Mus musculus: one gene and its partners. The protein of the gene in region 3 interacts with the protein of the main gene of each other region in a biochemical or structural test. Links are inferred from orthologs where the notes say so. Each region holds a gene or a part of one and is shown on either strand. Other genes may lie near its edges. The genes, in order: Mecp2, U2af2, Prpf40a and Htt.

What was found.
Region 1: the proteins of Prpf40a (region 3) and Mecp2 form a complex in vitro, tested with the Homo sapiens proteins (2 studies listed by BioGRID, with this or other methods). The link is inferred for Mus musculus from reciprocal best matches to the Homo sapiens genes PRPF40A and MECP2.
Region 2: the proteins of Prpf40a (region 3) and U2af2 form a complex in vitro, tested with the Homo sapiens proteins (2 studies listed by BioGRID). The link is inferred for Mus musculus from reciprocal best matches to the Homo sapiens genes PRPF40A and U2AF2.
Region 4: the proteins of Prpf40a (region 3) and Htt form a complex in vitro, tested with the Homo sapiens proteins (2 studies listed by BioGRID and IntAct, with this or other methods). The link is inferred for Mus musculus from reciprocal best matches to the Homo sapiens genes PRPF40A and HTT.

Annotation. Positions count from the first base shown.
Region 1 is NC_000086.7:74,080,258-74,088,184, reverse strand, and holds the start of Mecp2 (methyl-CpG-binding protein 2), read left to right. Parts: upstream 1-2,494; 5' UTR 2,495-2,598; coding exon of another isoform or gene 2,599-2,675; intron 2,676-7,600; exon of another isoform or gene 7,601-7,702; intron 7,703-7,927. UniProt on the Homo sapiens protein: Chromosomal protein that binds to methylated DNA. It can bind specifically to a single methyl-CpG pair. It is not influenced by sequences flanking the methyl-CpGs.
Region 2 is NC_000073.6:5,070,217-5,077,682, reverse strand, and holds part of U2af2 (splicing factor U2AF 65 kDa subunit), read right to left. Parts: intron 7,322-7,466; coding exon 7,183-7,321; intron 3,103-7,182; coding exon 3,023-3,102; intron 2,949-3,022; coding exon 2,826-2,948; intron 2,543-2,825; coding exon 2,456-2,542; coding exon of another isoform or gene 2,444-2,455; intron 2,216-2,443; coding exon 1,967-2,215; intron 1-1,966. UniProt on the Homo sapiens protein: Plays a role in pre-mRNA splicing and 3'-end processing. By recruiting PRPF19 and the PRP19C/Prp19 complex/NTC/Nineteen complex to the RNA polymerase II C-terminal domain (CTD), and thereby pre-mRNA, may couple transcription to splicing.
Region 3 is NC_000068.7:53,136,839-53,144,304, forward strand, and holds part of Prpf40a (pre-mRNA-processing factor 40 homolog A), read right to left. Parts: intron 5,192-7,466; coding exon 5,105-5,191; intron 5,026-5,104; coding exon 4,929-5,025; intron 4,843-4,928; coding exon 4,781-4,842; intron 3,755-4,780; coding exon 3,623-3,754; intron 2,433-3,622; coding exon 2,340-2,432; 3' UTR 1-2,339.
Region 4 is NC_000071.6:34,905,675-34,913,140, reverse strand, and holds the end of Htt (huntingtin), read right to left. Parts: coding exon 7,397-7,466; intron 7,043-7,396; coding exon 6,937-7,042; intron 6,058-6,936; coding exon 5,895-6,057; intron 5,709-5,894; coding exon 5,548-5,708; intron 4,510-5,547; coding exon 4,296-4,509; 3' UTR 607-4,295; downstream 1-606.

The DNA of each region.
Region 1 (7,927 bases), on a different chromosome or scaffold from region 3:
GTCATCTTTCTCATTTTTCTTTGTCATTTTGGAATTAAAAAAAAATGTCCCACCACTCCCACAGATTTTTGGATAGAGTGGATGTGTGTGTTCTATTTTCCATATTGCTAAAATTCTTCAGTTTGTTGAGATATATACATGTAGTATACTTTCCTGGTTGTAATTGCCCCACTTTTTATGTTGGGGATTGAATCCAGGGCTTTATGAGTGGTAGGCAAGTGCTCTACCATTACGTTTTATCCTCAGACTCTATCTCCCCATTTTAAAGGAATATTATTTTTAAATGCTACACTCTCATTTTTTAAATGGCTCCTTTTAATTCTACTGCTAAAATACTTTTGGTACAATATGCCTTTTTTTCTATTTTTTTTTTTTAGTGCAAGTATAAAATATGTCATTTAAATCTCTTTTATCTAATTTAAGGAACTTAAGATTTTCTTCCCAAAATTTCACAAGGTAGGAAAATGATGTACTTTATTTTTGTGAATGATATTGCACTGTAGATCTTGCTGTTTCTTGCTTTGTTCTCAATTAAATATCATGTTTCCTCTACAGCTTTATAGACATTTTGATCAGATTAAGGACATTCTAATTATAGTTCTTTAAGGTGTTTTTAAAATCATATGTAGGTATTGAATTTTATTAAATGCTTTTTCCTGCATGTATTGGGATACTCACATGATCTGTTCTTAAAATTATAATTGATTTCTAATTTTAAACCATCCTTGCATTCGTGGAATAAAACTCAGCCTGAAGGTGTGGCTGGAGAGATGGCTTGTTGCTCTTGCAGAGGACCCAAGTTCAGATCCTATTCTCTGTATATGCAAATACCTGTATTCTCACACCCCAACATACACACACACACACACACACACACACACACACACTACCACTCTTACCCACTTGTTTTTTACATTTCTATCTTAGTATTTTATGTGTATAAGTGTTTTGCCTGGTGCTCACTGTGGTCAGAAGAGGGCACAGGATTCCCTGAGACTAGAATTACAAATGGTTTAGAATGGCCATATGGGAAATCCTCTAGATTTCCCCCACTGTAGTAAGATATTCACTTAGGTGATCCTGTCCCAAAGTCAGCCATCATCCTTATTTTTTTTCTTTCTTTCCATCTGATATCCAATACTTTTGGCTCAATTTTTAACATAAATCTTAACTATCACAACTTATCAGATTTCAACTGCTACTGTCCTGGTTAAAGCCTTCATCATCTATCTTTCTTCAACTGCTGCCAGGACCTCTGGACCAGCCAGTTCTTCATTCTTCACTGGCAACATAGGTTTTATGGTGACAGCTAGTGACTCAAATATTTATCAAGGGCTTCTCATCTCAAAATAATCTCCTAGTTCTTTTGGTGGCCTAGGTCTCTCTCCAGTCACACTGGCCTCCTTAGTAAGGCAGGCATAGTCCTTCCTTAGAGTGTTTAAACTTGCCTAGAATGTTTTCCCCAATTACCCATATTGGGAGACGACATGAGGGCAAAAGCTAGAGGGTATCATAATAGCACTTCTTTTGTCCTTGCCCTATCTATTTCAAAGTCTTTATCTCTGTGCAAAATTTTAAGTTCTACTTTCTTGTATGTTTAGTATGACTCTTCCTTACCAGGAGTCTAGTTTGTCTCCTTGTTCAGTACTAAAACAGTGCCTAGCAAATAAATGAATAGAGAGGGGAGCCAAATTTGAATCAGAAAGTCTCTTGTTGCATAGTGTTTAAAAAACAAACAAAGAAAGAAAGTCTCTTGTTGAGCATTTGTTTAGCACAAAGAGCATTGGATGCTGACTGGTATCAGGGTAAGGCTGCTTTGACAATGCTCCCTCTGGCCTCACTCCCTTTTATACGTACTTCCATCAAACCATCTGATTCAACAATGACAGACCGATCTCTTATGGGCTTGGCACACACCATCTGCCCATTATAAACGTCTGCAAAGACCAAGGTTTGATATGTTGATTTTACTGTCAGCCTTAAGAGTGCGACATCTGCTAATTTAGTGTAATAATACAATCAGTAGACCCTTTAAAACAAGTCCCTTGGCTTGGAACAACGCCAGGCTCCTCAACAGGCAACTTTGCTACTTCTACAGAAAATGATAATAAAGAAATGCTGGTGAAGTCAAATGCTTATCACAATGGTGAACTACTCAGCAGGGAGGCTCTAATAGGCGCCAAGAGCCTAGACTTCCTTAAGCGCCAGAGTCCACAAGGGCCCAGTTAATCCTCAACATTCAAATGCTGCCCACAAAACCAGCCCCTCTGTGCCCTAGCCGCCTCTTTTTTCCAAGTGACAGTAGAACTCCACCAATCCGCAGCTGAATGGGGTCCGCCTCTTTTCCCTGCCTAAACAGACAGGAACTCCTGCCAATTGAGGGCGTCACCGCTAAGGCTCCGCCCCAGCCTGGGCTCCACAACCAATGAAGGGTAATCTCGACAAAGAGCAAGGGGTGGGGCGCGGGCGCGCAGGTGCAGCAGCACACAGGCTGGTCGGGAGGGCGGGGCGCGACGTCTGCCGTGCGGGGTCCCGGCATCGGTTGCGCGCGCGCTCCCTCCTCTCGGAGAGAGGGCTGTGGTAAAACCCGTCCGGAAAATGGCCGCCGCTGCCGCCACCGCCGCCGCCGCCGCCGCGCCGAGCGGAGGAGGAGGAGGAGGCGAGGAGGAGAGACTGTGAGTGGGACCGCCAAGGCCGCGGGCGGGGACCCTTGCTGGGGGGCGGGTAGGGGCGGGACGTGGCGCGGGAGGGGCCCGCGGGGTCGGGCGACACGGCTGGCGGATGGCGTCCCTCCTCTCTACCCTCCCCCTCCCTCTGCCGCCGGTGGTGGCTTTCTCCACTCGTCTCCCGCAATCGCGAGCGACGGTTCTCAGCGCGATCTCCCTGGAGCCACCTTCGAATGACGCCCTCCCGCTGCCCGCCCCATCTGTGCGCATCCTAGGCCCCAGCTGTGCAAGCGCCCTTGTCGTCTGGGCTTCGCCAGTTGGGGCTGCGCGCGCTCCTGCCCTTCTTGGGGCTTTGGGCCTCGGCACTGTCGCGCGCCCGCGGTCCCGGCCTCTCCCTGGATCGCGCTGTCCCCTTCTCCCTCGCGCGCCCCCACTCCCGTTACTTGCTCCCCCCTCACACACACAGACTGGCGCGCGTGCGCAGTCCATCTCCCGTTGGGAGAGTGCGCCACAAGGGCTCCTGAGCTCTTACCCCCATCTCTGGGTTTTGCTCCCTCCTCCTCCTCTCCCATTCCGTGACTTTTTGCCCCCACTGCAAGCGAGTCGGTCCATCAGCTCCATTCCCCACTTGGCAGGAACAAGTTGAGGGTTATTGTCCACCCACAAAAAGGACTAGACATTATGTTCCTAGGTCCCACAACTCATCATAAAGAGATGGTTGTAGTTCTCATCAGGAACCGTGGGCAAGGGACTGTGCGTTCCTCAGCACTCGAAGCTCTTCCGTGAGACCATGCCCGCAGGGTGCTCTGGTTCTTTGGGGATGCTGTGCTGTGGCTTCGGAATATGAGCGTCTTCCCACCCTCCCTCCCCTCCCTTCGCCAGCGATCATCCAGTTACATAAGTGGAATGGGACGTTGTATGTAACGGGCTCTCTTCGTCCTGGAGCGCTCAGGATCGCCAGTACCAAATGGGGCGAGATCATCGCATCGCTGTGACTCCTGTCACTTATCTTTGAAAGTTCATTCTCTTTTTAGTTTGGTTATGGCTGAATCACTGAAAATAAAACACAGGTGACTTTTATGTGGCAGTGGCAATGTTTCTGAGGTTTTGCACTAAAGGTTTAAAGTCATCATGGAGTCTAAAAAAGATTCCCTCTCACAAGAGAGACCCTGGTATGACATTGTTCAGTATGGACCCCTGAAGGGCAAAGCTTGTTAGGGGATACCTCTATGCTGGTTCCTTGTATGTTCGGGTATAGGTTGATCAAAACAAAAATGGGCTCCACCACAAATTTGATATTCCTGACTCATAGTCAGGCAGATATGTACTCTTGGTTAATTTTCCAGGAACACAAATGGGCTCTGTTGAGTCATTTGCATGTTGACTCCACTGTTTGGAATCATTACAGTGAGGCAGTAGGCTCAAATACAGGGTGGTTGATGACGATCATGAAACAGAATGGACTAATTTATAGTGCTAAGTGACTGAGATGTTGTAGGACAAGTTCTAGATATTTTGTTATACTACATAAATGAAACCAATTTGGGCCTGGGTAGTAAAATTTCACTAATAGGTAATTATTACTGTAGAGGAGAATTTTGGGTTTGTGGTTGGAATTATGTGAATCTCAGCAATTTCAATTAATAACATGATTAAACTGATATCTTAGGTTCTTTGAAATATGTCGAATCTCTATAAAAAGATAAAATTTGGATTGTTAGGTCCTTGGGGAGTTTCCACCAAGGATTTGGAAAAATATATTTACAGACTTTTGGTTTTTCGTTTGTTTTTAACTTCAAATTCAAGTCATACTCAGAAAGCCTAGGAAACACTTGCTTTTATTTTCTTACCTGGATATGTCAGAACCTTAAAGAGTCCAAACACTGTAAAAGTACAAATGATCTAAAATGAGTTAATACACATGGCCGACAGAGTGCATTCACTTTCACAAACACACCCAAGTCTTGCTTGTCAAAAAATTCCAAGGTTTGTACATCTGAGCCTGAGCTCAGAGTTGGAACCTTTACTTTGTTTTTATATTCTTACAACAGGTTTGCTTCCTCAGGTGCCCCTCTGGTTATCTATTTGTTGTACCCATAGCTCTTTAAACATCGTAAGCAACTTCTAGAACACAGTTTCCTTTCAAAGTGCCTGGTGACATCTGAAGCTAGTGTGTCCTAAGAATTTGAAGAAACTGTATGGCTTTCTTGCTAGTATTGATCTATCACATATGCCTATTTTCTTTCCATGAGAATGTGTCTTGAGTACTTTAAAGCTACAGTAACAGGTCACTATTTCACTGAAGAAGAAAGCATCATGTTGTCCATTGTACTCTAAGGATTATTTTTTTCCTTTTTTTTTTTTGTTATTGTTATACTGGTGGTCAAACCCAGGACCTCATGCATGCTAGGCAATCACTCCACATCCTTAGCCTTCTACTCTGTTTTTTGTGCTGTTTGACTCCTGAGGTACATATGACCACAAAGACTACACATAGACCACAAAGATTTTGGAAGGTTATGATATGTTTTTGCAATCTGTGTATTTTCCAGATAGAGTGGTTCACTCTACCTGATCTGCTTCTATGAAGCCTAATCTATTGGGGATAGGGAGGCAAAGCTATGGAGTTTAAGGAGAAATCAGCTAAACCCTTGTTCCAGTGCCCCAACTCCACCCATGAACTCCTGAGAAGTTTTTTTTTTTTTTAAACCTAAAATAAAGAGCAGCAGAGGTAAACGTGTTAGTTTGTTTGCATGGTAAATGATATATCCTGGAACCTGTTATCTTTTCTAAAGGTAATTGTCAGTGAGAATCTTTTTTTTTATTCATTATTCTCATATATTGCATCCCAACTGTATTTTCCACTTCCTCCTCTCCTCTCAGTCCCTCACTCCTCCCTTCTCCTTCCCCATCCACTCATCCTTTTCCCTTTAGAAAAGGCAGGCCTCCCAGGCATATCAATGTAGCATGGCATATTAAGTTTCAATAAGACTAGTCACCTTCCCTCATATTAAGGCAGCCCACTAGGAGGAAGGGGATGCCAAAAGTGACAGAGCTCCCCACTCCCTCTGATGGGAGTTCCACAAAAACAGGTCACTCGGTGGGGAATGTTTTAATTGGCTAAGAGCAGTTTACCACCAGTGAACTACTTCTGGGAAGCATAGACTGATGGACAATGACATTTCTAGTAGCCAGTGTTTTTAAGCGCAGCCTAGACTAGAGAATTCCAGGAAGTGTGGCAGAATATCTCATTTTAATCACCTGCTCTGGTAACATCTGTGCAGCAAGCCATGTGGCTAACAGAAACAATCTTTTTAGTTGGGTAGAAAACACTATTGTTCTTCCAAGGGAAGGACATTGTCCTCAGTGCCCATCACAGCCATTTTTAATCACTCCGCTGTTGTCCAATCAGAGTGCTGCACCTGCTCATCATTTCAGGGAGTCCAGTGGCTCCCTACTTCTGGGGCTAGTTTATACAGAAGGTGTGTGTGTGTGCTCTTCTGCTTTCTACAGCTCTCTTCTGCCTTTCTCTCCCAAGGAACATTTTCCTTTGAAAGTTTGATTTCAATCACTTTTATGGGAAATATAGTGTGTGGAATGTCTGAATGGTGGCAAGACTCAAGAGAAGGCAGACGAGCCTACTCCCATGTTAAAGGGGGAAATATGACCTTTTCCTGGACACTGCTAGCATGTGAATGTCTGCTCACCTAGCTGGTACTATGGATGTCTGGACTCTTGTTACTGGCCAAGCCTTAGTAAAAGTGTGCTTATCTTTTCCTAAAAGCAGGGGGTATTTTAGTATGAATATTTTTGTTGGATTTTCACCTAACTGAATTCATTTTTAACTTTTTTTTTCATCAAATCTCAAACTTTTTTAAGAGCTTAGAATAAAGCTGAGTTCAGCTTCTAGTGAAATAAGGGCTGAAGATATAGGGCTCAGTCAGTAGTGTAGAGCATTTGCTTCACATGCTCAAGGCACTGATTTCAGTTCCATCCTTACAAAAAAATAAATAAATAAAATTGCAGGTAGGTAAAACTAGTCTTGAGAAGTTGTGACTTTGCAGGCCTTCTTATAAACAAGGCACTGGTTTGAGTTTTTTTATTAGGCTGATATCCAAAAAACAATTAACTTTGGGATTTCAAACTGTTCCATGACTTAATTCTATGATTTAAGGAAATTATAGAAATGAAGAGGTTTTGCTGAGCCTTAAAAGAGAACTGTAAGCATCGTCTAGGTAAATAGCATACAGCTGCAAAGGACTTGGTTGCTGTTGCCTTTCCTCTGGATTCAACCCCATGAGTGACTATAATAGACTTAAGTTGTATAGTATAAGCTTTTCTTTTAGTGTAAAGATAAAAGTGTTATTGCTGGGAGAGCCAGGTATCTAAAATTAGGTATTTAGGTAGCTAAGGCTTTAACTAGGAAACGATGGTTAGCTTGGTGGCAACAGCCTTATTTGAACATGTGTGCAAAAAAAAAACAAACAAAAAAAAAAAAAAACGAGAGACTGAAGCCGGAAGAACTGAGTTTGAGGACAGCCTGAACTACATAACGAGACTGCCTCAAAAACAACAATGGGGGGAGGGAGAGCGCTCAGCTGTTTAGAGCACTTGTTTATCTTCCACTACCTTCATAGAGGCTCACAATGGTCTAATTCCAGTCCCCAGGACCCATCTTCTAGCCTCAGCAGGCACTACATGTGGGTAGTGCACAGACATACATTCAGACAAATGCTCATGCACATAAAATAAAAATAAATAAAATCTCAAAAATTTTAAAGAAAAACAGTAACAAAAAGGTCAAAAGGATCATCAACTCTGTGTTACAGCCATTGAGATGTACTGAATTGAGAGGGTTACAGAAATTGGTTAGAGAAGGACTTATAGTTTGGATGATGGCTTTGGATCTCCTGGTGTTTTGTCTTTTATCTCAGGGTGAAAACCCCTTTGTGATGTTAGAGCAGTTCCTTGCAGCTTTGACTGCTGGAAGCAGAAGAGAGACTTTTGCCTCTGGATTTGGTTGTGTTCTTTTTGAGGTGATGTGTGGGTGTTTGGGTTTTTTGTTTGTTTGTTTTGGTTTTTGGTTGGTTGGTTTTTGTTTTTTTTGGGGTGGGGGGGGAGTTGGTTGTTTTGTTTTGATGTTGCATATACTCTTGAACACATTCTATCCTTGACTTTTCCTGTATAGTGTGGTGGAAGAAGTACTTAAGCAGAAGTCACCACTTGTGGTGTGCACTGTAGTTCCAAAGTGTTCCCCAGAG
Region 2 (7,466 bases), on a different chromosome or scaffold from region 3:
TGTATTTATTTACTCAATCCCCATTTAAGGCAGGCTTCCATTAAGGTGCCAGCCTGAATCAGAAAGAGTGGCATATCAAATACAGGCAAAGAAGCAGTCAAGAGGCTTTTTTAGTCAGATAGTCTTCTTCCTTTTGACTACTGCACCAGACCTCTGCTGCATTCCCAAGATTCATTTGAAACCTGCCCAGCCTCCCCATGTCTGAGTTTCTATCAATCCTCACCCACTTGGGAGTTCCCATCTACCCAGCTAACTGCTTCCTAGCTGACTCTATTAGGATATCTAAGTAACCTCAGAGGCAGTAGGCCTAAAAATGGCTCCACCTCACCTGTCACTCCCATCTCCACAAACTCATCCATTTCTCATTGCCCATTATAGTCACCACATCACTATGGACACAGAGATATTCTGAATGTCACTGGGCAATTTCGCCACTTCAAGTTTTATGGGGCATACAACCTGTATGTTTTCACTAGATAATATCACCTTGACTAAACAGTTTTATCTCCCAGCACAAGACATACTTTAAAGCAGGCCACCATCTTTCTCTTATACTAATACAGGCAACCCCATGGATCACCTGACTCATGACTCGGCACTCTCCATACATTATCAAAGAGCTAGCATTACATCAGCTTCCTTCTATCTGTGAAGCTCCACTCCTCTACAAGAAAACCCTAGGCTTCTTCCTCAAGTTCATAAGGACCTCCATAATCCTCTTGCAAAATTGGCCTCTTCTCTCAAATCCTGCTCATGGTCCTTTCAGCCATAACAAGAGTTCCTAAAAACCAATGGCTGAACATCCTGGCCTCATCTCATTCATACTCCTGCAATGTAGCAATTAGCTCTACAGGGGCAAAAGCAAGTCCCTACATTGAATATACCCTAACCCCAACCACACACACAGCAATCCTACCTAAAGTCTCTGCTTCTGTCCATCTGCCTAGGACAGGCACCTATCTAAAACCAGAACTTGGGTCTATGGAAGTGGCTCAGGGATAAAGCACTTGCTTAGTTAGCTACAATAAGGCCATGAATTCTATCTTTAGTACCAGAAAGAAAAATAAAGGCATGTAGCAACTCTGATACCCACCCTTTCCTGCTACTGCCCAACACAGCACCCTAGCAAAGTGTCCCCCGCTGTTTGTGGGTAAGAGCTCTATTCACAGCCAAATCTTCTAATGGCAGAATAAGAACACCAGCAACCCCTCAGCAGCACCTTCCAAGGTGGACATGCAAAGCTTATCTAAACCTACCATAGTGTAGAGGTGGTAACTCAGGAGCCTCTGAAATCTAGACTACAAACATGTGATGCCTAGCTGTGTGTGGTTGTCACCTTTGTACCACACTCTAAAAAGAGGTTCAGAAGCCAGTGAAAGAAGAACACAGATGCAGCTTCAAGGCACGTAGATAGTAAGAAAACTATATGTAGTAACATCTTACCAACAAAAAAGGCAAAGCTAAGCTGGGTGTGGTGGTGCACTCCTTTAATCCCAGCACTTGGGAGGCAGAGGCAGGCGGATTTCTGAGTTCAAGACCGGCCTGGACTACACAATGAGTTCCAGGACAGCCAGGGCTACACAGAGAAACCCTATCTCGAAAAACCAAAAAAAAAAAAAAAAAAAAAAAGGCAAAAAGCTACTTGCTAAAGGATCCCACATAAGAAAGAGAAAAACTAAGTTTTGAACTTATATATATATATATATATATATATACACACATATATATATATATACACATATACACACACACACACACACACACACCATATAGATAGATAGACAGACAGAGACACACACATAGCATCAATATATAGAAATCAATTTCTCCACTATAGGCCCCAAGACCCCAGGAGACCTTGATCCTCTCAGGGTCCTCTGCGTCACCCTTGTTCAGAACTAGTCAGGTACTGAGAGAGACAGGGTGCTAAGGGATTTGTTCACAAAAGATAAAAGGGCACCCTGACCTTTCCACAGCCAGGCACCTCGACGCCGTCCACGGGGCGGGGAATTTCAATGGATTTGACCAACCCATACTTGCTGCACTCGTCTCGTACGTCCTCTACAATCTCCTCATACTCCTCATCGTCCAGCAGCTCCTCAGGCAGCACCATGTTCATGAGGCACAGGACCTCAGTTGGGTGACCGCCCATCTGCACCTGAGAGCTCATCAGGCCGGGCACTTGAAGGGTCACAGGTGTCTGATTGATGGTGCTCTGTGGGGTCAGGGAGAACAGATCTGTCACAAAATGGCTCAGACTAGCCTCCCTCCATTCAAGCCTGTGCCTCTTACACCCAACTAGTGGGACCATTCCTCTACTTAAGCACTTATGAACCCAGTGCCCAAATCCCCTCCCATGAAAACTGGGGCAGAACTCAAGAAAACCTACCCATCCAACCCTTCCCACCCCCAGGGTCCCTCTAGCCAATGGAAGATGACGTGCCGGGAGGCTCACCAGCGTGGCATTCTTGGCTCCCACACTCGCCCTCTGGACAAGCAGCTTCTTGTCCCCTAGCTGCATCCCATTCAGCCCCGCAATGGCCTATGGTCAGAGGACAAAGGGTGGAAAGGGTGCAGGAAAAGCAACAGGTCAGGAACCAAAGGACCAGGCATTGGTGGGGAAAGAATGAAAGGCAAAGGGCTTTTAAGATTGGAAAGAGGCAAAACCAAGGGAAAAGGAATGAGTCCCCACAAGGCTTTGCTTAAGACTAAACACCCTGCCCCACCCCACCCCACCCCACCCCACAGCCTGAGGAGAGGATACCTAAGGTTAGAAATAAGAGTAGGGTTAAGGGCAGATGGAATGAGCAGCTACTCAGACTCACCTGATCTGTGACGTTGATGTCCACGTACTCACAGAAGGCATAGCCCTTGGAGAGCCCTGTGGCACTATCCTTAACCAAGTTGAAGGCCTTGAGAGGCCCAAAGGATGTCAGCAGCTCTTTTACCTACAAAGGGCCAAAAATTCATCAGGGTTTGGTCAGGCTGACAAAGGTAGCTAGCAAAAGAGCAGAGGATTTACCTGGTCATCATTTAGGTAATTGGGCAAACCCCCGATGAACAGCTTGTGGGCAGAATCTGGGACTACAGTGGATACAACTCCTAAAGACAAAAATGTATAAAGACTTCAATTCCAATACAAAGTAATTTCCCAACATCCAGGAAGAAAGCTGTGACTGGTGACACACACTTGTCTTTTCAGCACTTGGGGAGGCTAAGGCAGAAGAATCAGTCTCTCAAAAAAAAAAAAAAAAAAATCTACCATGGATTCACAGGTCCTATCTACTTAAGATACCATGTAAAGGTGGGAGGAGGCCACACTAAATCCCCTTATTCTGACAAGTATACAAGCATAGGCCAGCCAACAACTGAACATGAAACATTCCCGAAGAACTGACAACCACCCACCAACATCTCATCCCATTCGGTTGTTCAGTCCTTTGCCCTGTATCCATAAGCCCCTGCAGGGGTGACCTGCATTCTGAGGTAATGTGACAAGGAGCTGAGAGGCTGCTCAGAGTCTCAGAACATGCCTCAGTGTTGACTGCCACTGTAGTGATGACTAATGGTCAACTCTTCGAAGCTGTGTTCAGGATCCATTAAAGCTCTAATATAACTACATGGTGCTATCACCTGAGGGAGTCTGCACCACTTCTCTACTCAACTCACATAGAAGTGACGGCCAGATGTTTCTTAGCACACCCCACAAGCTTCACCAATATTAGCATTTAATTCTTAGAGTCAGTATCAGGCCCCTGCATCAGTCTGGCTACTCTGTATGGCTACCCTTTTCAGCCCTGCATCAGTCTGGCTACTCTGTATGGCTACCCTTTTCAGCTCTCCCCCATGCTAAATGCAGTGGTCCATCCTAATGTACAAAAGCATCAAGATAATGACTCGACACACCCAGAACCTGAGTCACTGTGCCCCACCCATCTTCTAGGCTGGCTCTGCCCCACTATAACTCTTTAGCCCCAAAGAACTGCAAGCATCAATTCAGCTATTTCTAACTATTAGAAGTGCACCCCAGTAGTCAAGTTATCTAGACTGTGCAACAGACCTAAGTTACAGTGCAACTATGACAAGCAGAAGCATTAACAGCCAGGCCATATCCAGTACTGCCATAAGCCAGAGGACAACCACTTTAAAAATCTATCTGGGGCTGAAGAGCTGGCTCAGCAGTTAACAGTGCTTGCTGCTCTTCCAGGGGGCCCAGGTTCAGTTCCCCAGCACCCACAGGAGGACTCATAACCACTCCTAACTCCAGTTCCAGGGAATTCGTCACTCTCGTCTGATGTCCTTAGACACCAGGCATCCAAACAGTATATACTTATATGGAGGCAAAAGACTCATACCTTAGGTACAAAAGCCCTAGCTTAAAGCAAAAGAAGTAAAGTTCTAAGAGTAGGAAAAGGGTGACTTCAACAGAGCTTTTCTAAAGCAGCTCAGCAGGCTTGACTCTGCACCAGTCTCTGACAAGTAAGCAGCAAGGCAGCAGCTGGACCACAAGCCCAATCTGGTAATCACTGTGACTTATCACTTCTCTCTCAGAGGGAGAACAAGGTAGGACCCAAGCCAGTTGTCCTAACTTCAATTCTTTGCTGTCTACAGCTAGAGAAAAAGGGAGACCAACACACTACAAACAGGGCGCATACAGAAGCATTCTGCTACACTTAATCCAGGGATACAAGGTGCTAACACTGGTGACTAAGAACAACAACTTCACTTCCACAGAAATGAAGCGCAGCGTCCACTACAGGTGATGTCAGTGTAAGTTATCAGTCCATTCTCTCCCCAGGAAGAACATCAGCCTTCCAATTTACAAATCTTTTAACTCTATCATCAATACTTATTGGATTTCATCAAATGCTTTTCCTCTCTAGTTTATTTAGTGACCTTTGTTTTTCTCCTCTGGAAGTGGAAGTTGAAAAAACAAGACAGAATTCCACTTGTTGCTGCCTCCTCCAAAGTGGTAATTTTGTGCAGAAGCACAGGCAGACCTGGAGGGCCAGGTCTTCAGACAGGCACATCCCAAAGAGACACAACACAGGACTGATCTTCCTTCTATTGTTTAATGGAAGCAATGTAGAGACTCCCTGTGAAAGAGGCCCGTCACTTAACAGCATGGCCCAAAGCAACTATGCCTGTTATCTACATGTTCTCAGTAGAAAGTTTAACATGAAAGAGTACAGAGAAAAGCTGAGCTAGGACTCCTAGGCCAACCTGTGCAGCCCAGAAAACCTATGAATTTCGTGATCACGAACAATTATTATTATTCACCACTCCTGGCTTTCCTCCTCTGTAAAGTGACAATTCCATCCACGACATGTGATGTGGCACATGCTTGTGATCTCAATACTGGGGGCAGAAAATCAAGTTAAGAGGCCAGTCTAAGATACAGTTATACCATGTGTCAAAAAACTACAGCTAGGCCTGCTGGTACAAGCTTATAATCCAACTCTGCAGGAAGATCCAAAGTTCAAGGCCTCCCTGGGAAACACAGAGAAAGCCTGCCTCAAACTACTAGTAAAAAGGCTGAGAGTATCCCCATGTGGCGAACCACCTGCTTAGCATATGCAAGGCTCTAAGTTCAATTCCTAATACCACAATGAGACCAGTAATAAAAGTAATATAAAAGGAATGACACTGTGCCAAAATTTATTTGTAAAAACAAGCAGTGGGCCAGGCGTGGTGGCGCACACCTTTAATCCCAGCACTCGGGAGACATTTCTGAGCTCGAGGTCAGCCTGGTCTACAGATCGAGTTCCAGGACAGCAAGGGCTACACAGAGAAACCCTGTCTTGAAAAACAAACAACAACAACAAAAAACCAAGCAGTGGGTCACAACTGACTTCCAAGTCATAATTAGCTGAGTGAAGGCTAAAAGAAGATTCAGGAACAGGCAATACCTGGCATGCCACACTGTGTCAGTAAAACCAGCAGGTGGCTGTCTATTCATGGAATTAAAGAGCAATCCAAACAATGAATTTAGTGCCAAGAGATACAAAAAAAAGATGTTCTACAGCTTCACCTGAAAGTCAGTAAGCAAGCAGGACCTAGTGGCACAGGGCTATAATCCCAACTACCCATGCAGCTGGGGGAAGGAGGCCCCCAAGTTCCAGGCCTGTCTAGGCAAACTTAGTGAGACCCTACCTCAAAATGAGAACTTAAAAAGGGGCTTGGGATTCAGGTTAGACAGTAAGTGCTTTCCTGACAAGCACAAGGACTGGAGTTCAAGCCCCAGTACCACTGTGAATCTTCTCCAAGCAATACTTTCAAGAGCATGCTAGCTTTAGACTCAGGTATGTGACCAGAACTTGCAGTAAGAAAGCATTCGGTAGTCAGGCCCTAACCCCAAGTCCTACACTACCAGAAATGTGCTCCTTCCTCTATAGAGAAGGGGTGACTTGACCTGGTTCCAGTGGGCACCCTCTGATGCTGAGCATCTACTCGGAGGACCCCACATTCACTGCAATCAGCCTCAGACCTGGGCCTCACTGACTCAGCTGGACCCCAGCACCAGTGTTTCCTGAAGCTCAGCAGGGGTCATACAGCCTGCAAATCCCAGCTCATCCCGCCTGACCTGCCAAAGGAAAGGCCAGCAAACTACAGCTAAACACTGAAAGATTAGTGCAGAATTGGGGGGGGGGGGGGGGGATCACAAAAAATCCAAATTTCTAATGACCCCGTCTGTAGCTTAAACAGTAAAGATCTATCGTGACCTACCAATCAGAGGTTATACTATATACAATTATAGGAAACAGTACAGAACACATGCCAAAGACATGGAATCAGTGAACACTAACATGCTAGGGCCACACACCAGAACCATGCAAAGATCTGTTGATATGTACTTACAAATACATAGCATACACAACACATCAAGCCCTAAAATCCCAGGGCTAAGGGGACAAGGTAAAAACAATGCCCAGACTGCAAGTCCCACACTTTCCAGGACACCTCTGATCTGGACCTGGCTCTGACATTTACAAGCTAAGCTAAACTTTAAGATTGAAGATCACAGATCACCACCTCAAAGGCCCAGGACACCTGCCAAGCTAGAAGAACATCCACAGCGCACACACACTATCTCCAAAGCAACTCTAGCTGGACTAAGTACAGGAACCTGGGTTGAGGAAACAGTGACTCCCCATACCACCCACCCAACGAATTCCCACTCACCAGGCACATAAACAGAGGGGTTCTCTGACATGCCAGGCAATGGCTGATAGTCATGAGGCCTTCGAATCTTCAATGACTGGCCCTGGAAGATGATGCCATCAAATGCCATGGCCTGGGTCGTCTCATCCACTGACCGGAACTGAAGGAAGAGAAACAACAGAGCTAAGGGGTAGGTTGGGACTAGACCAGCCCCCAAGACTCTTAACTTTCCTCCCACTTATATAAACAAACATAGTACCAAACCCATAATGAACAATGGGAACAAGCACTACCAGATAGCTTCT
Region 3 (7,466 bases):
TAGACTGGATTTACATGTTTTATAGCAAGGATATTACATTTCCAGGTACCTAAAGTCAAAATTCAACACACTGATATAAAACTTCTATTTAAATCAATTTGGTTCTGTTATGATATTGATCTGTTCACAGTAACATTTACAAGAAAAGAGGCAGAGGCAGGGGGATCTCTGAGTTTGGGGCCTGTTGGCCTACAGAGTTCCAAGACAGCTGCTGCTACACAAAAGCCCTATCTCCAAAAAACCAAAACCAAAACAACAACAAAAAAACTGTTTTAGTCAAGAGAATCACTTTATGTCTTTTGCTGTGTCTGATTTGCATAGGTTCATTGCAGGGATAGTTTAATTGATCATGTTTTATAAGACTCTGAAGATGTGAAGAAATTATAAGAAGCACAGAAATCTATTTTGAGGACATGCTAAAACATCAATAGCTTTTTATTCAAATATATCAAAAATTTAATGTTGTACTTTAAAAATCATTATTCATGGAATTAAAACATATTTTACAGATTCTAATTTCTCTTATGAAATACTACTGGTTTGTTTCCAAAAATAAGCATGATTTAAAGACTATCTCTGACCTCCGTGTCAAGTACTGGGACTCATTAGCAATCTTGACTATTGCTAAATGAGGACCCCTGAAAATTAAACTCAAGGAGATTCTGTTGCAAGTTGTTAGGTATTTTGAATAACATACAACTGGGGGGGGGGAGTGGGGGAGGGGAGGAGGAACTAATCTCAAGCAAGCAATTTGATCATATAACGTTTTCTCTAAGAGAATGCTCTTTTCCACAAAGTATGTCTTATATCTCAACAGAAAATGGACATGGCGATGAGAAGGTTAGAAATAAAGTACCTCCCTTGTGAGGTTTTAAAACCCTGGCCAGTATTTAATCAAAAACCTGGGCAGGATGGAAAAAGGGCTGTACTGATCTGTCCTAACTCATTTAAAGGGCAATGAAATAATTTATATTCTATTTAAATCTCAACTTGAAAGAGATAATCTCAGCATGTCCAAATTATAAGAACAAAGAGAATACTAAAGAACAACTGCTAATCTTTACATAAGAATTAACAAACAAAATCTCCTGCACTGAAGGAAATTGTATAAATCACATTACTAACCTTCAAGAGTTAGCAGGTAAAGAGAATTGTAACTTTAAGCCACTGCCTTTCTAAAATAGTCATTGCCTTTCTAAAATATTCCATAGGAAATTTATAGGTGAAAACACATTTAAGAACCTCAAATGCACTGATTTACGATGTTCATAAATATTAAAAAAAAGTACTGTAGCTACCATGGGTACGATGAAACAAAATTTCAGGGATTTATTATCTTGAAAATGATCATACAATTTCCTTAGAGCTGAGCAGCTTATGTAGAAATAAAGACTAGTGCACACTACAAGAGAAGTTTAATAATAGATAAAAATGTACAAAAATATTGAAATCAGAAATGCTTTAGAATGTGTACCATGAAGTCAATACTTCTCAGTAAGGAAGGTAATTTACAACCTCCTCAGTGGAATTAAAAAAAAAGTGTAAGAGAAAGGTTGGATTAAAAATTAAAAGAAAATGTTTAAGTCAACATTGATTTCCCACCCCTGACAAGGATATTTCAACTATTACTCAAAAGTTTGGTGGCACATTCTTTAGTAGGTCCTTAAGGCAATATATTTCAACTAATTTACAATTTGACTTGATGTTAGCTATTTTAAAACATCACCTCAAAATAGATGCTCAAAATAATGCCCTCATAAGCCTTTTTAAAATGTTCAGATGTTTCATAAAAAATAATGGTGGCTTTTTTACAGCAGTGCTCGTTAGCACCACTGCTGTTAAAGGTCTACCAAGGCTCCATCAAAAACACCTGTTTCTTAAGAGCTCACCACAGAAGATCACATTGGCTTTAACCAGTTCAGTAGTGCACAAAAAAGCAGTCTTCTCATAGGTTGCTGGTGCTTTTTTTGTACTACATTATCAAAAATTTTCATTGTATCTTCAAAATCCAACTTCTATAAAGGAAATCAAATCACCTCATGACTTAGAACAAAGTAGAGACGTCTGCAGCTATCATGAAATTGCCACTTTTAATCCATCCTGTAGTGCCCTGTGAAAGGGTCACAGAAAGACAGTTATTACCATAGGAAAATATGATTCTTGATACAGAATCAAGTTATTTTCAATTCCTTTGCTTTTATAAAGTCCACAATAACAATACATAAATGCACTTTTTCCTGTGACACAATTAAAACCCAGTGTTATGTAAATTGGACTTAAAATAATCCCTGGTCTGAATTAGACTTTAAATCATACTATAAACATATATTTGGTATAATTTATTGATCATCATCCAGTTGCTCCAAAAGGGTTCTTCTGCGCTTTTCCAATTCCCCTTCACTCAGTTCACTGCCAGAAGTATCCCAGTTACCCTGCAAAGACATTCAACACAATTACAATTAAAGTTAATCCTGAAAACTGACACTGTAAAAAGATTCTAAAGTAGATGTGGAATTCAGTCACACAAAAACATCTCACGAGGTTTTAAAACTGATACTTTGCTCCAAAGCCCAACCGTTGGTTATTAAACATTCCTTGGATGTTATTAGAGGAAAAAAAAATGCTAAGATAGGGATTCTTATATAGAGCTACTTCAGTTCATATTAAATATGTAAACAAGGAAAATGATACATACTAATTCCTTTTGTTTCACACAATTAAATATTAATAGTTCCCACTTAATGAAAGCCACACATCCACTTCCAAAGCAGTATGGTTTTTGCTAATTTTATAAATTTTAGGTAATCCTGTAAAGCAATGTTAAGTTTTAGACTTAACTTAGACTCTAAATGGTCTCTGACCTATGCTCATGAACACAGACAAGACTTAAAGTCTATGAGAAACAACCTCACGAAGTGGAGTGGTCCTCTGAGGTGTTTTGTTTAAACCACTGCTACAGAGGAGACAAGCATAGAGAGGGACTCACTCTTCATGGAGGTCGTGAATCAGAGAAAACCTGTCTCAAAACCAGAACAAAACCCCAATAATTTGAAAATCAAGGTGTCAGTGCCCAATGTACTTCTCAGTGGTACTGTAAAATTCAAACATTATCTTTTCATTCCAAGTTAAATGACAACTATTTTGTACTGTTAATTTGCTGTTAAAATTTTTTAAGGAATATAAATGTAAGAGAATCAACCGGATAGTCATTTATGAAGTGGTACCAGACATTTCTTTCTTTTTTTTTTTTTTTGGTTTTTCGAGACAGTTTCTCTTTATAGCTCTGACTGTCCTGGAGCTCACTTTGTAGACCAGGCTGGCCTCGAACTCAGAAATCCACCTGCCTCTGCCTCCCAAGTGCTGGGATTAAAGACGTGAGCCACCACGCCCGGCTCAGACATTTCTTTTTATTTCATCCCAAGAAGCATTTCCTCCTAAATCAGGTAAGGAAATGAATGGTACCAGAAAGCTATTTTGTGATAAGCAGTGAAGAGAATTTATTCTTTTCTTCAATGTTAGCAGATCAAGAAAAAAAAATCCTATAAACACCATCAAAGATTTAATGAGGGAATGAACTGTTGTTTTTTGGGAATTCAGGAAAGAAACACTTTTCAGTACTTACAGAATCCTTTCCAGTCTTTTTCTTAGGTGATTTGTGTTTTGATTCTGATCTCTGTCTACTTCTGTCTTTTTCACTGTCCCGATCTTTTTCTTTTTTATCCTTTTCTCGTTCAGTATCTGATTCTGGAGAGTCCTATGTACAAAACACCGAACATATCAGAATTTTGATAAGCATACCATTCTTTTACAGATTATTTATGCAGATGTTTAATAATATCACACTTATAGGTTAGGTGTAAGAATGTAGTGAGTTGACCCCAGGAATTGTTGTTGTTAAGATGCTGAGACAGGGTTTCTCTGTGCATTTCTGACTGCTGTGGAGCTTGCTCTGAAAGCAGCCTGGCCTCAAACTCAGAGATCTGCCTGTCTCTGCCTCACAAATGCTGAGACTAAAGGTGTGCGCCATCATCCCCCACTCTGATCCCCAAAACTAGAGTTTCTCCAGTGTTCAACGCAGGAAGAACAACATCTGGATATGTTAAAACACTATTAAGAGCCTCAGCACCAGGTTATATCTATTGTGTAAGTATAGAGCGATATTACTTACTTATTTAGAACCCAGGGCCCCACATACATGCTAAACACACACCCTTAATGAGCTATATAGAGCCTTAGTTCCTGCACATTTTTCATCAAGCATATCTCTGGTTTACTTAGATCTGTATAAGGATACTGCTGACTAAGCTGTTCATTTAATCCATGGAACAAGGTTGAAAAATCACAGAGAAAACAAGTTATTTAAAATGTTAGTGCTTAAATAAGTAGTTCTGGGTTAGATAGCTAAAACTCCTAGGAAGCAGCATAGAAACCAAGACAACCGATCTAGTTCAGGGCATCTGTGCTAAAACTCAGACACCACTGATGAAAAACCCCTATGCCAACCTAATATGCATCTACAGCATTGGAAGAGAAACTGATCAAGCATTTTTATTTTTTCTGTCTCTTTTAAAATTTAAAAGACCAGGTTAGGAACCCTAGTACTTGTGAATGTTCCTATTTGAAGTTCCGAGTGATCACAATGGAAGACTAAGGGGAAGCACACTTAAAGGTTCTGGTTTTATTCCCAAGGTAAATGAGCACAGATTTAGATTATGAGAAGGCCGAAGAATCCTTTCCAAAGCAAAGCCTTGGAACTGTTAAAAACTAGAAACTTTCTTACAGATTTATGCCTCCTCTTTTTGCTTTTCTTCTTATGCTTTTTTGACTTCTTGTAACTTCTCTCTGTGGAGCATAGAAAGAAAAAGAAAATGTCAAAATCTGAAGAAATCAAAGTGTCAAGGTTGACTCAAGAAGAGAGAAGTGCTCACCAGACTCAGCACTGGACGAACGCTCTGAAGCAGAATGAGACTCTGATCGCTGCCTTTTTTTCTTTGAATGGCTGTCGTCATCATCTGACTCTGATCCCTAAACAATACACATACAGACATTCACAAGCATGTTCACAAATGTTTTGGTCTACTGTGCCAGCCAACACACTTCTTACCGATCGAGAGCGGGAGCGTTTCCTATGGTGCTTTTTAGATTTCTTAGAATGTTTCTTGTTCTTTGAATGATGATGCTGACATTCATGCTAGAGTAGTAAAAGACAAACTTTAAGAACTGCACTTGCTTTGTATAGGCAAGAACAAGAAAATGGTACAAGCTTACCATGTGAGATCTTCAAAAAGTCCTAAGCAAGATACATTAGAATAAGATGTCCAGTGATTACATGAGAAATCACTATTTTTATTCTTATTAGGTATTCATATATTATATATTCATTTATGTATCTGAAAAAATTTTAATTCATTTATGTATCTGAAAAATTTTTACAAAATATTAATGAAGTAGTTTTTATCAAAATGACAAGAGCATTGGTAGGGAAAAGTCTTAAAAGGTGTAACTTTCAATAATTATTAAAAAAATTATTCAGGCATAATTTTGTCATCTAATCTGACTAGGTTTGGTTAGTAAGCTAGGCCAAGCACTGAGATAAAAAACCTAACAGGCATCTTTCAACTGGGATACACAAGATCTATTCCTTTTTATTTTGTCCCAAGAAGCATTTCCTCCGAATTCACACAGGGAACACTTATTTAACTACAGGTTGTGCCCTTAACACTTAGTAAACAATTCATTGTGGGTGGGTGGTGCTGGTGGAGTATGGGAACAGTTATGAAAGAGTACGTAAAGACCCAAGCTCTACCCCTGGCAATCATAAGGCAGAGAGAGAAAAACCTCCTGGATTTATCTTCTGACTTCCATATGAATTGTGACTTACACAGATGTACACACAACTGTAAAATATTCATAAGGCTACTTGGAAGGGAGAAGTGCTGCAGGAAATGCTCCTTGTTCTAATGTTTATATCCCTGGCTCAGATAACACACATTTGGTCTAAAAAGTAGAAATGGAAAACCTGGCTAAGAATGAAGTCCTTTCTGCCTCAATGAACGGTGCCTCAAGACCTTATTAATCAGGTTTCACAATCTGACTTGCTCACTCTTTTCCTATAGAATCATCTTTAGATTCATCTACCACTTCACTACATTACCTCTAGCTCAAATTACCAAAAGTACAAAGCTGGCTAGTCTCTGTATGTGTGTCTAAGTGGTGTGTGAATGAAGAGTGTGATGTGCACCCATGCAAAGGCCAGATGAAGAAATAAGCTATCTTCTCTAGCTTCTCAACCTTTCTCCCTGAGACACAGGCTCACTCTATTAGAAATTCCTTGTGTTGGCTAAGATGGCTGGCTGTTAAGCATAGAAGATTTCCCCGTATCCACCCCTGCCTGGTGGGTACTCAGACTGTCTTTTATGCTTGCACAAAAGCGCTCTTTACTCAATGAACCATCTCTTCATTGCTTGGGGATTCTTGATTACAAAAAGGTAGCTCATACATTCCTTAGGATACAGCATCTCAAAGTTCCAAATACATTCAAATGCTTTGGAATATGGGTATAACCAAGCTTGTTTGTTTGTTTGTTTGTTTTAAATTTACATCTTAATCAAACCTTCCACTCCCTCCTCCCCTACTCCCTCGCTCTTACTCCCCCATTCTCTTCCTGTCCTCCCTCTCTCCTCAGAAAAGGGGAGGCCTCCCATAGTTATCAGGCACATCAAGCTGCAGTAGAATTAGGCCCATCTTTTCCTATTCTGGCTAGGCAGTCTCTGGATGGTTCATTCTTTCTTCTTAGCTCCAAACTTTGTCTCTGTAACTCCTTCCATAGGTATTTTGTTCCCTATTCTAAGAAGGAATGAAGTATCCACATGGTGGTTTTCCTTCTTCTTGATTTTCTTGTGTTTTGCAAATTGTATCTTGGGTATTCTAAGTTTCTGGGCTAACACCCACTTATCAGTGAGTGTATATCAAGTGACTTCTTTTGTGATTGAGTTACCTCATTCAGGATGATATCCTCCATTTTGTACTTTGTACATGTTTGTGGAATCCATAAGTTTATACTCTCCACGTTATAGTGAGGTAGAGTTTATCTTACTGGAACCCAGAAAAACTGTTATTGTAGCTAGCCTTACCACTCTTCACAGATCATATTTCTAACCTCCCTGAGTGCTAGGATTATATGTAGCCTACCATATCCTCCCTGCATTTATGTATGCTAGAGCATATGAACATCAGTCCTTACAATTGCAGACCAAGGATTTTGCCCATTCAATCATTTCCTTAGCTCATGTTAAACTTTTTGAAAGCACTGATAAATAGTCAAATAATATATATCGGCTAGACGCCATTGCCTACAAAACTTACTTCATGTTGTTAGTTTGCTTATTTGTAACATAACATAACTTCCTGTAAGGATTTAGTTCATACATGTAAGCTCTATGAATGATAAATGGATTAGCTCACAC
Region 4 (7,466 bases), on a different chromosome or scaffold from region 3:
CTGCAGGTTGGTGGATGAAGTACCTGCATTTCAGGTTTAGCCCAGATACTAAAGAAGGGACCTGGTAAGACAGGCAATGTCATAGACAACCTAAAAGAAGTTGTAACCTACAAAGGACAGGGTAGGTGTTGCAGACACAGCAGGACAAAGGTGGTAAGACCAGTCATGTTGAAGGGCAGAAGAGGATCCATGTGGATCAGGAGCATGTCCAGAAAGGCAGAAGGGCTGGTGGAGAGCATGCAAAGACTCCAAGGACTACTAACTGTGTCCTGTGTGAGGACAGAGCCTCACCACCCCTCTAGAACCCTGGAGCAATGTGTGGAAGCTGAAACAATACCTAGGATCTCACACGACAGGCTTAAAATGCCAATAACTATGAGAACTTGGCACACCATATCTCCCAGACAGGGAGACCACTTCAATAGGGTCTGCGAATACTCCTAGGCCTGGTCCCAATTCCAGGCACACAGTCTCATTCTATACCTAGTATTGCCTGATCTTTACAGTGTCAAGATGGCTGCTGGTAGTATCCTTGCCCCACTGGAGATAAGCAGGATGCTCTCCTCAAATGCTAGAAAGGAGGTTTTATAAGTAAAGCAAGCCTCAAACAGCAACAACAGGTGGTTTAATCGCTTCTTTAATTCAACTGTACAATATCTGCAATTTAAAAATTTTAAATATACATTTCATGTCAGTCCTTCCTTTTGGAAATGGACAGCCAGGTCTAGGCTGGGCTCCGGGGCACACCCATCACAGCCCTCCTAGTTCCCAGTGAAGCCCATGGCATACAGCAGCAAGGCTTGGACAGGAGCCCCCTAGAATGCAGCCAAATCTCTGCAGATAGGTCTCTGCCACCTATTATCTTACACCCAGCTTGCGGCAGAGGGTGTTTCCAGAGACACTTGAGGGGAGCAGTTCCTTCGATGGCTCTAGAGTGTGACAAGCACACATGGAGGGTGGCCCTGAACCTTGATATCATCTTTAGTTGTCACACTGCTCAGCATTGGTTCTTCTTTCCTGGAGGCTCCAGACCCACTGAGGAACAATTCTTTTCCCAACCATGATATCCTGAGCCCACACCCAGCATCAGCAGCTCAGTGTCTTCGACTCCCACATACCAATCCCTGGAGGACAGCTTCATGCCTGTCCTGGTAGCAGCCATGATCCTAGTGCTCAATGCTGAGGGAGGGAGGGAGGGACGGAGGGAGGGAGGGAGGGAGGGAGGGAAGGAGGGAGGGAAGGAGACTGTGTGGGGAAGGATGCTCACAGGTGGCAAGGAGACCAATTCTGCAGCCCCACAATGGGAGGCAAGACTCCTTGTGACGTGGCTGTGAGACAAGCTATTGCTGTATAAAACCTGTCCCATGAGCCGGAAGCAGAGCTGCTTCACTCACTCACGGGAAGGTACTTCCTGCCAGGGAAGGCACCTGTTAGGATTGGTCCCTTCCCTGGCACTGCATTCTACAGGGCAGGAGGTGGTTCCACTCCAGTTCTTCCCTCCTGAAGGGTACATGTGCAGACAAAATGAGAGAACCATAAAGGGCACTTGGCAGTGGCTAAGTCACCTACATGTCAAGGGGGCCATCAGTGGGAGGGAGGGAGGCACATTTTGGAGAAGAAACATGCTGAAGTGCATTGCCAAAAGTTCTACCCTGGTTTTATTAAAATCTTTCCTGACAGTACCACCATGGAAACAGAAACAACATCCCACCTCCTACCCCTAAAACCTCATAGTCAAAATAACTTTTGTTTTTAAATAAAGCTTGGAAATCTTTAGATTTTTGAGGAATTTGATAAAAAGTTTTAGTCCCTCCTGCAGTTAGACAGGTGGGGCAATGTCTCCAGTGAGACTTTAATGAGCTATGGACTTTTAAAAATTGAGTCCCATTCTCAGATGCTAGACTCACAAAGCTGACTGTATGTGGCAGTTGCAAGAAAAGTCTGCTTTCAGAAAAAACAGGCAGGCATTTTTAGAGGCCTTGCATATGTCTTTGAGGATTGTGTGTGTGTTTATGTGTGTACACAAATACATACCTGCCTGTACCCAGGTGCATCTCTAGGTTGTGGCACCCATGAGCAGACAACAACTTTGTGGCAGAGGCTGTCCTTGCCCCATACTAAGAATTGTTTCTGATCACACTAAACAAGAGGCCAACTAAACTTGAGGTTGAGCTCACTGATATAATCCCCTGGTGAATGGCTCTAGATTTTATATTGAGTTTCCTTATGAACATCTACCATGAGGAGTAATCAGGCCTGCACCATGCTCATCTCAGAGCGGTTGGACCAACCTCAGAGTGTGGCAGCAGCACTGTAAGAACTTTCACATGGTCCCCGAGCACTTCTAGGCGGGAAATTGAGGGTGACAAGAAGAAGCCCTAAATCAGCAAAGGGGCATTGGTGAATTTCTTTCATTAAAATTCAGTAGCTTCCCTTAACGTCCTCTTGAAAGACCTAATCCATGTCCACTGTTCCTGTTACCACGCCTTGGGGTGGTTTTTGCCAGGGCAGATAGGAGGAGAGTCAGGCCAAGTGTGAGGCTCCCCACAACCTGTGTTTGGTAGGGAACCTTGCATCCCAGCAGCAAGGCTACTTGTCATGATGGAAAGATAGAGGGAAATTCAAGGGTCTCAAGAAAGCAATCCATGGACTGAAGCACAGTTAGTTAATCACAGGCTGCAAGCTCTTTCCTCCTGTGTAGCCTAGAAACATCTCCAAACTATTCCACTCCCCTACTCTACAGCTGAGAAATACAGATATGACTTAGCGGAACAGCAGAAAATCTGCTTGGTCATATAGTCAAACAGCAAACAGAGTTCCCAAACCAAGCCAGGAAATGAAGGTAGCTCATTTTCATTAACATGACCTGGTTACTCTGGGCTTGGGCTTTGGGAAGAGGTGGCTCTGACCAGCATGGGAAGCTGTCTGAGGCCAGAGGCTGACCTGATTTTGAACCTTCCCTTTGGTGCCTCATCTTGTCAGCTGAGTCCTCCCTGGGCTCTGACAGGCATAGGTCTGTACTCTACTGGGCTGACAGAAGGCAAGATGGGAAGGGGCAAAAGAGGCTCTGGGTCCATTCTTAACTGTTGCTAGGACACCAAGCTTTCCCTTGACTATGAGAAACTGAGACAAACCAACAAACCATAGCTCAGAGACACCTTTGGGGTAATCAGGTCAGCACTTCTCAGGTCCCAACCATGCAGAAGATACAAAGGGACAGACAGCATCCACAATGGTCAGCTGGTGTGTGGGCAGGCTACAGTGCAGGTCAGCCACAACCAGGGATGAGGTTATTGGGATAGCCACTTTGGGTCCAGCAGATGCTGTTTCTACCCAGGCTGAGAGACTAGGAGAGTGCATCAACACCAGGGAGGAGATAGCTTGACAGTCATGCCTGGGAAGGGGAGAGGAGGGCAGCTGCCACAGGGCAAGCCTCTTATAACTCTAACAGTGGAAGTCAGTTTTTCAGTTCCTCAGTTAGGCCACAGGCAGGATTCTCACACAGGCAGTCAATACCAACACCTCTCTCTGTGCTGGCTTAATGGAATGCATAAGAAAAGGGAGCTGTATGAAGTGCAAGTGCCACAGGGTGTTGGGAGGGCTACAGGAGGGACCTGCCCGACTAGACTGAGTAGCTACAGGAGAGGGAGTGGCGGCCAGAAGGCCCCTCCACTTCCATAAACTTTGTCACATGCAGCACAGGCCTTGCCAAGTCACACACTTTACACGGGCATAGGAAAAGTTACATTAAAATTAATCTCTTTACTGATATAATTAAATTTTAACTCCTGAGAAGAAAACACAGAAAGGAAAATGGTGCTGGACACCTGGCAGCCCCAGTTCCCAGCCCCACACACCATTCATTTTGTGTCCAGACACTGGTGTGGCAGGTATGCCTACTGGGTAAATGTGGGAGGGAGCTCTCCAGCCCAGTGGAGCAGGCGGGCTCAGAACCATCTGGCAAGAGCTAGGACTTCTGATCCACATACCAGGGCAGCTGCAACCTGGCGACTATGGCCAGGGGAACACTAGGAAAAAGACAAACACCTGGTCAACCTAGCACTGTCACCAGCTGCAGCGAGGCCAGGACCCAGGACTCAGGCTCAACCCCAACATAGTGCATGTTCCCTGCATAGCCCTCATTGCAAAGCACTCCTGCCATTGCCTGGCTGTCCACTTGACACAAGTGGAAGCCTGCACGGCCAAGGCAGCCCCAGCAGAAGCTTGGAGCAGGCTCCTGGAGGCTCAGGCCCCAGCAGCTGCCTTCTTTCAGCCTTTTGTCCCACAGGCACTACTCAGCAGGTGGTGACCTTGTGAACATTTTGCAAACAAGCAAGCAGCCTGTGGTATGGACTTCCTGGTGCAGCCACCACCTCAAACACAGACTGGAAAGCCCTGCGGTCGAATTCCTCCTCTATCTGGTGTCTGTAGAAGTCTGTGGCAACCAGGCAGAAAAGGTTCACATCCACCTGTTCCAGTTTGCCCATCCTGCTGATGACATGTGGAAGGCTGGTAGAAGAGTTAAGGAGGAACGATGGCAAGGGTGGAAAGACAGCCTCCCCAAGCGGTTCCCCTCCTAAGTCCACCAAGAGGCCCAGGGAAGACTGAGGGCAACCAAAATAGAGGGCAGCCTAGACCACATTAACAGCAGCAGCTGCCTGTAATCCTTTCTCAGCTGCAGCTTGCTGTCTGCCCAGGAGGACAGGGGTGGGTAGGCAGAGAGGCCCAGGAAGTGGGAGTCATGCAGTGCAGACAGGATGCTGGTTCCCAGTGCTCTGCACAACAGCACTTACCTGGGCTGTGCTCCCCACACAGTGCTAGTGGCTGGTGTTCCTGCTCAAACTGCTCCAGTGCAGGGAGGGCAGAGCTAGCTAGCACCCTGCCTGCAAGGCTTTCCCAGTACTTAGGGTGAGGCTGTACTGTCACCACCAAGACAGCTTTGCTGCTAGTAACTCTTGTGGTCTACTGAGAAGGAGGCTGCCAAGAGGAACTCCTGGCATCACTGTTAGGGCGGGAACTGCAGCTTTACTTACGGCTTTCCCCAGGAGGGTGACCACAGCGTAAAGATGAGAGCTAATGAGAAGCAGCATTGAGAAAACCTCAGAGGGACAGATTATGCCAGATGATGGGGCAGCCGCAGGGCCAGTGGCTGGCTGGCCTGAGCTGCCCTGCCTCCCTTTGGACTTCCCTTTCCCTCAGCAGTAAAACTGCCATAAACCCTGGCTGGCAAATGGTTAGACCTTCTGTTTCGTGTCCCTGTCAACATTTTAGGGAAGGGTAAGCATCACCTGTGGGGTTCTTGTTTTTTTGAGACAGGGTTTCTCTGTGTAGCCCTGGCTGTCCTGGAACTCACTCTGTAGACCAGGCTGGCCTGGAACTCAGAAGTCCTCCTGCCTCTGCCTCCCAAGTGCTGGGATTAAAGGCGTGCGCCACCACCACCCACCTGTGAGGTTCTTTAGAGTTTAGGTTTGAAAACATTCAGTGAAACCTGAACTGGATGCTAAGTGAACAAGGAACCTGGCCAAAGTCCCATGGAAGGAAGGATACATCGCAGAAACCCATGGGCTGGTAGATGCGCTAACAAGGAAGCAGGAGAGGCTCCACATGGCCATGGCAACTGGAGTTCTTTGTGTGAAGTTGGACAGGGACAGCATGACCCAGTCCCGGACCATGGATGACTGCCCAGCACTGTGCAGAGTCTGAAAAACCTAGGGACAAGAGAGCCCTGAGCACAGGGTCAGACTGTGGGGTGGGGTGAGGGGACTGGGGCCACAGCTGCCACTCATCTTAAAGGATGAGTCTAGCCCTGATGACAGGCCTACGGCAAGTGTGGGATTGGCTCCCCCTTCCTCCTCCTGCTCTGTCCTTACCCCACAAGGCAAGTACACCCTCACCTTGTAAACTACAGTGGCCATGAACTGTGGGTATGGCTGCTGATTGGACAGGAACTCTCCAATGACTTTGTTCATGACATCTTGAGGTGGAAAGAAGTCATCTAGGAACTGAGGCAGGATCCTTGCCACAACCCTGGCTTCACAGGGAAATCCCTTGCGGATCCTGAAATGAGAGGAGCTGATTTGAGCCTCACCCTGGCTCTTGGCCTCTCAACCTTGCCCATAGAGCCATCATGGACTAAGGCTCAGAGGTCCTTGACCCACAGGAATGTTCCAAGTGGGGCTCAGACCACAACTAGGGTATGAGTTTTAAAAGCCAAAGATGATATCCAGGCTGTTCTTTTGCTGCCCTGATTGATCTGGGCACAAGGTGATCTTTCCCACTCTGGGGAGAATAATGCAGTTGTGGGACAGCCTTGTAAAGGAATAGCAGCAAAAGGGTGGGGTGGTGATATTACTGAAGAGACTCTCCACATCAAAATGTACCAAAACTTTTCACTGTTGTATGTCCTAATACCCAGAGTACTACTGTCAATCAGCAACTTTTCTTCCCTTCAAAATTGGACACCCATCTATGCTCCTGTTGATTCTTCTCTCAACATCCAACACTTTACCCTTACCTCAGCAGCATCCTTAAAGACCGCTGACCTATGATTATTCCACTAATGCCACACAACTGTGGTATACAGCTGAGAAGTACACAAGTGACTCAGACCCTTAGCCATGCCTCCTTCCTGTGGATATGGCCTGAGCCCCACCACAGCACTTGGCTATACTCCAGGAGTATCTATTTCCTCAGCAGTGGCCTATGGGATCCACCAGGGCAGTGGTTTGGTTGTACACCTGCATGGGTCCAGTTGTCTCTGAGTCTGGTTTGCAGGTGGTGCTCTGTGAATATGCATGCACTGGAAAAATGGCTGCAAAGATACATTTTAGAGTTCAAGAGAATGAACAAATACACACAGAAGAACTGCTCTGGCTGTGGCTCTAGGGCAGTCAATGACTACTGAGGTTAGAGGTAGAGATTTGCTGCATGTCTTACCTATCAAAGAGAACAGACACTCGCTCCATAGCTACAATCACAGACTCGCTGTCAGGTGTAGCAGGGCTGGGGTCAGAAGCTCTGCCTGGACTGGCTTTTTCCTTTCCTGAAACAAAAACACTAAGTAGGCTATACAGAACAGAAGCCCAAGAGTTTTGAAATCTGCACTCAGTGGCTCAAACAGGACTTTACCAGATAGGCAGAGATCCTTCAAAAACAGGTGATTACAGTCCCTAGCAAGGCAGGACCCAGCCCAACTTTCTTCCAACTCTCAGGGATGCAGTGGCCAGAGGCAGCTCTGATATCAATACTTGGTGATATCATGTGAGCTACTCTCTTGCCTTGAGCCCTAAATTTCTGGAAAGGTGACCAGGATGTCTTAGGGCCACACTAAGACTGCCACACCATGAGGCCTGGCTTGAGTCTTTGGGTGAGTCTATGACCCTTACAACTCACTCACCTGTGTACATGCAGGTGAGCATCAGGCCTAGGGCTGCCATGGCCCTGTGTGGGCTTTGTACATTCACTCT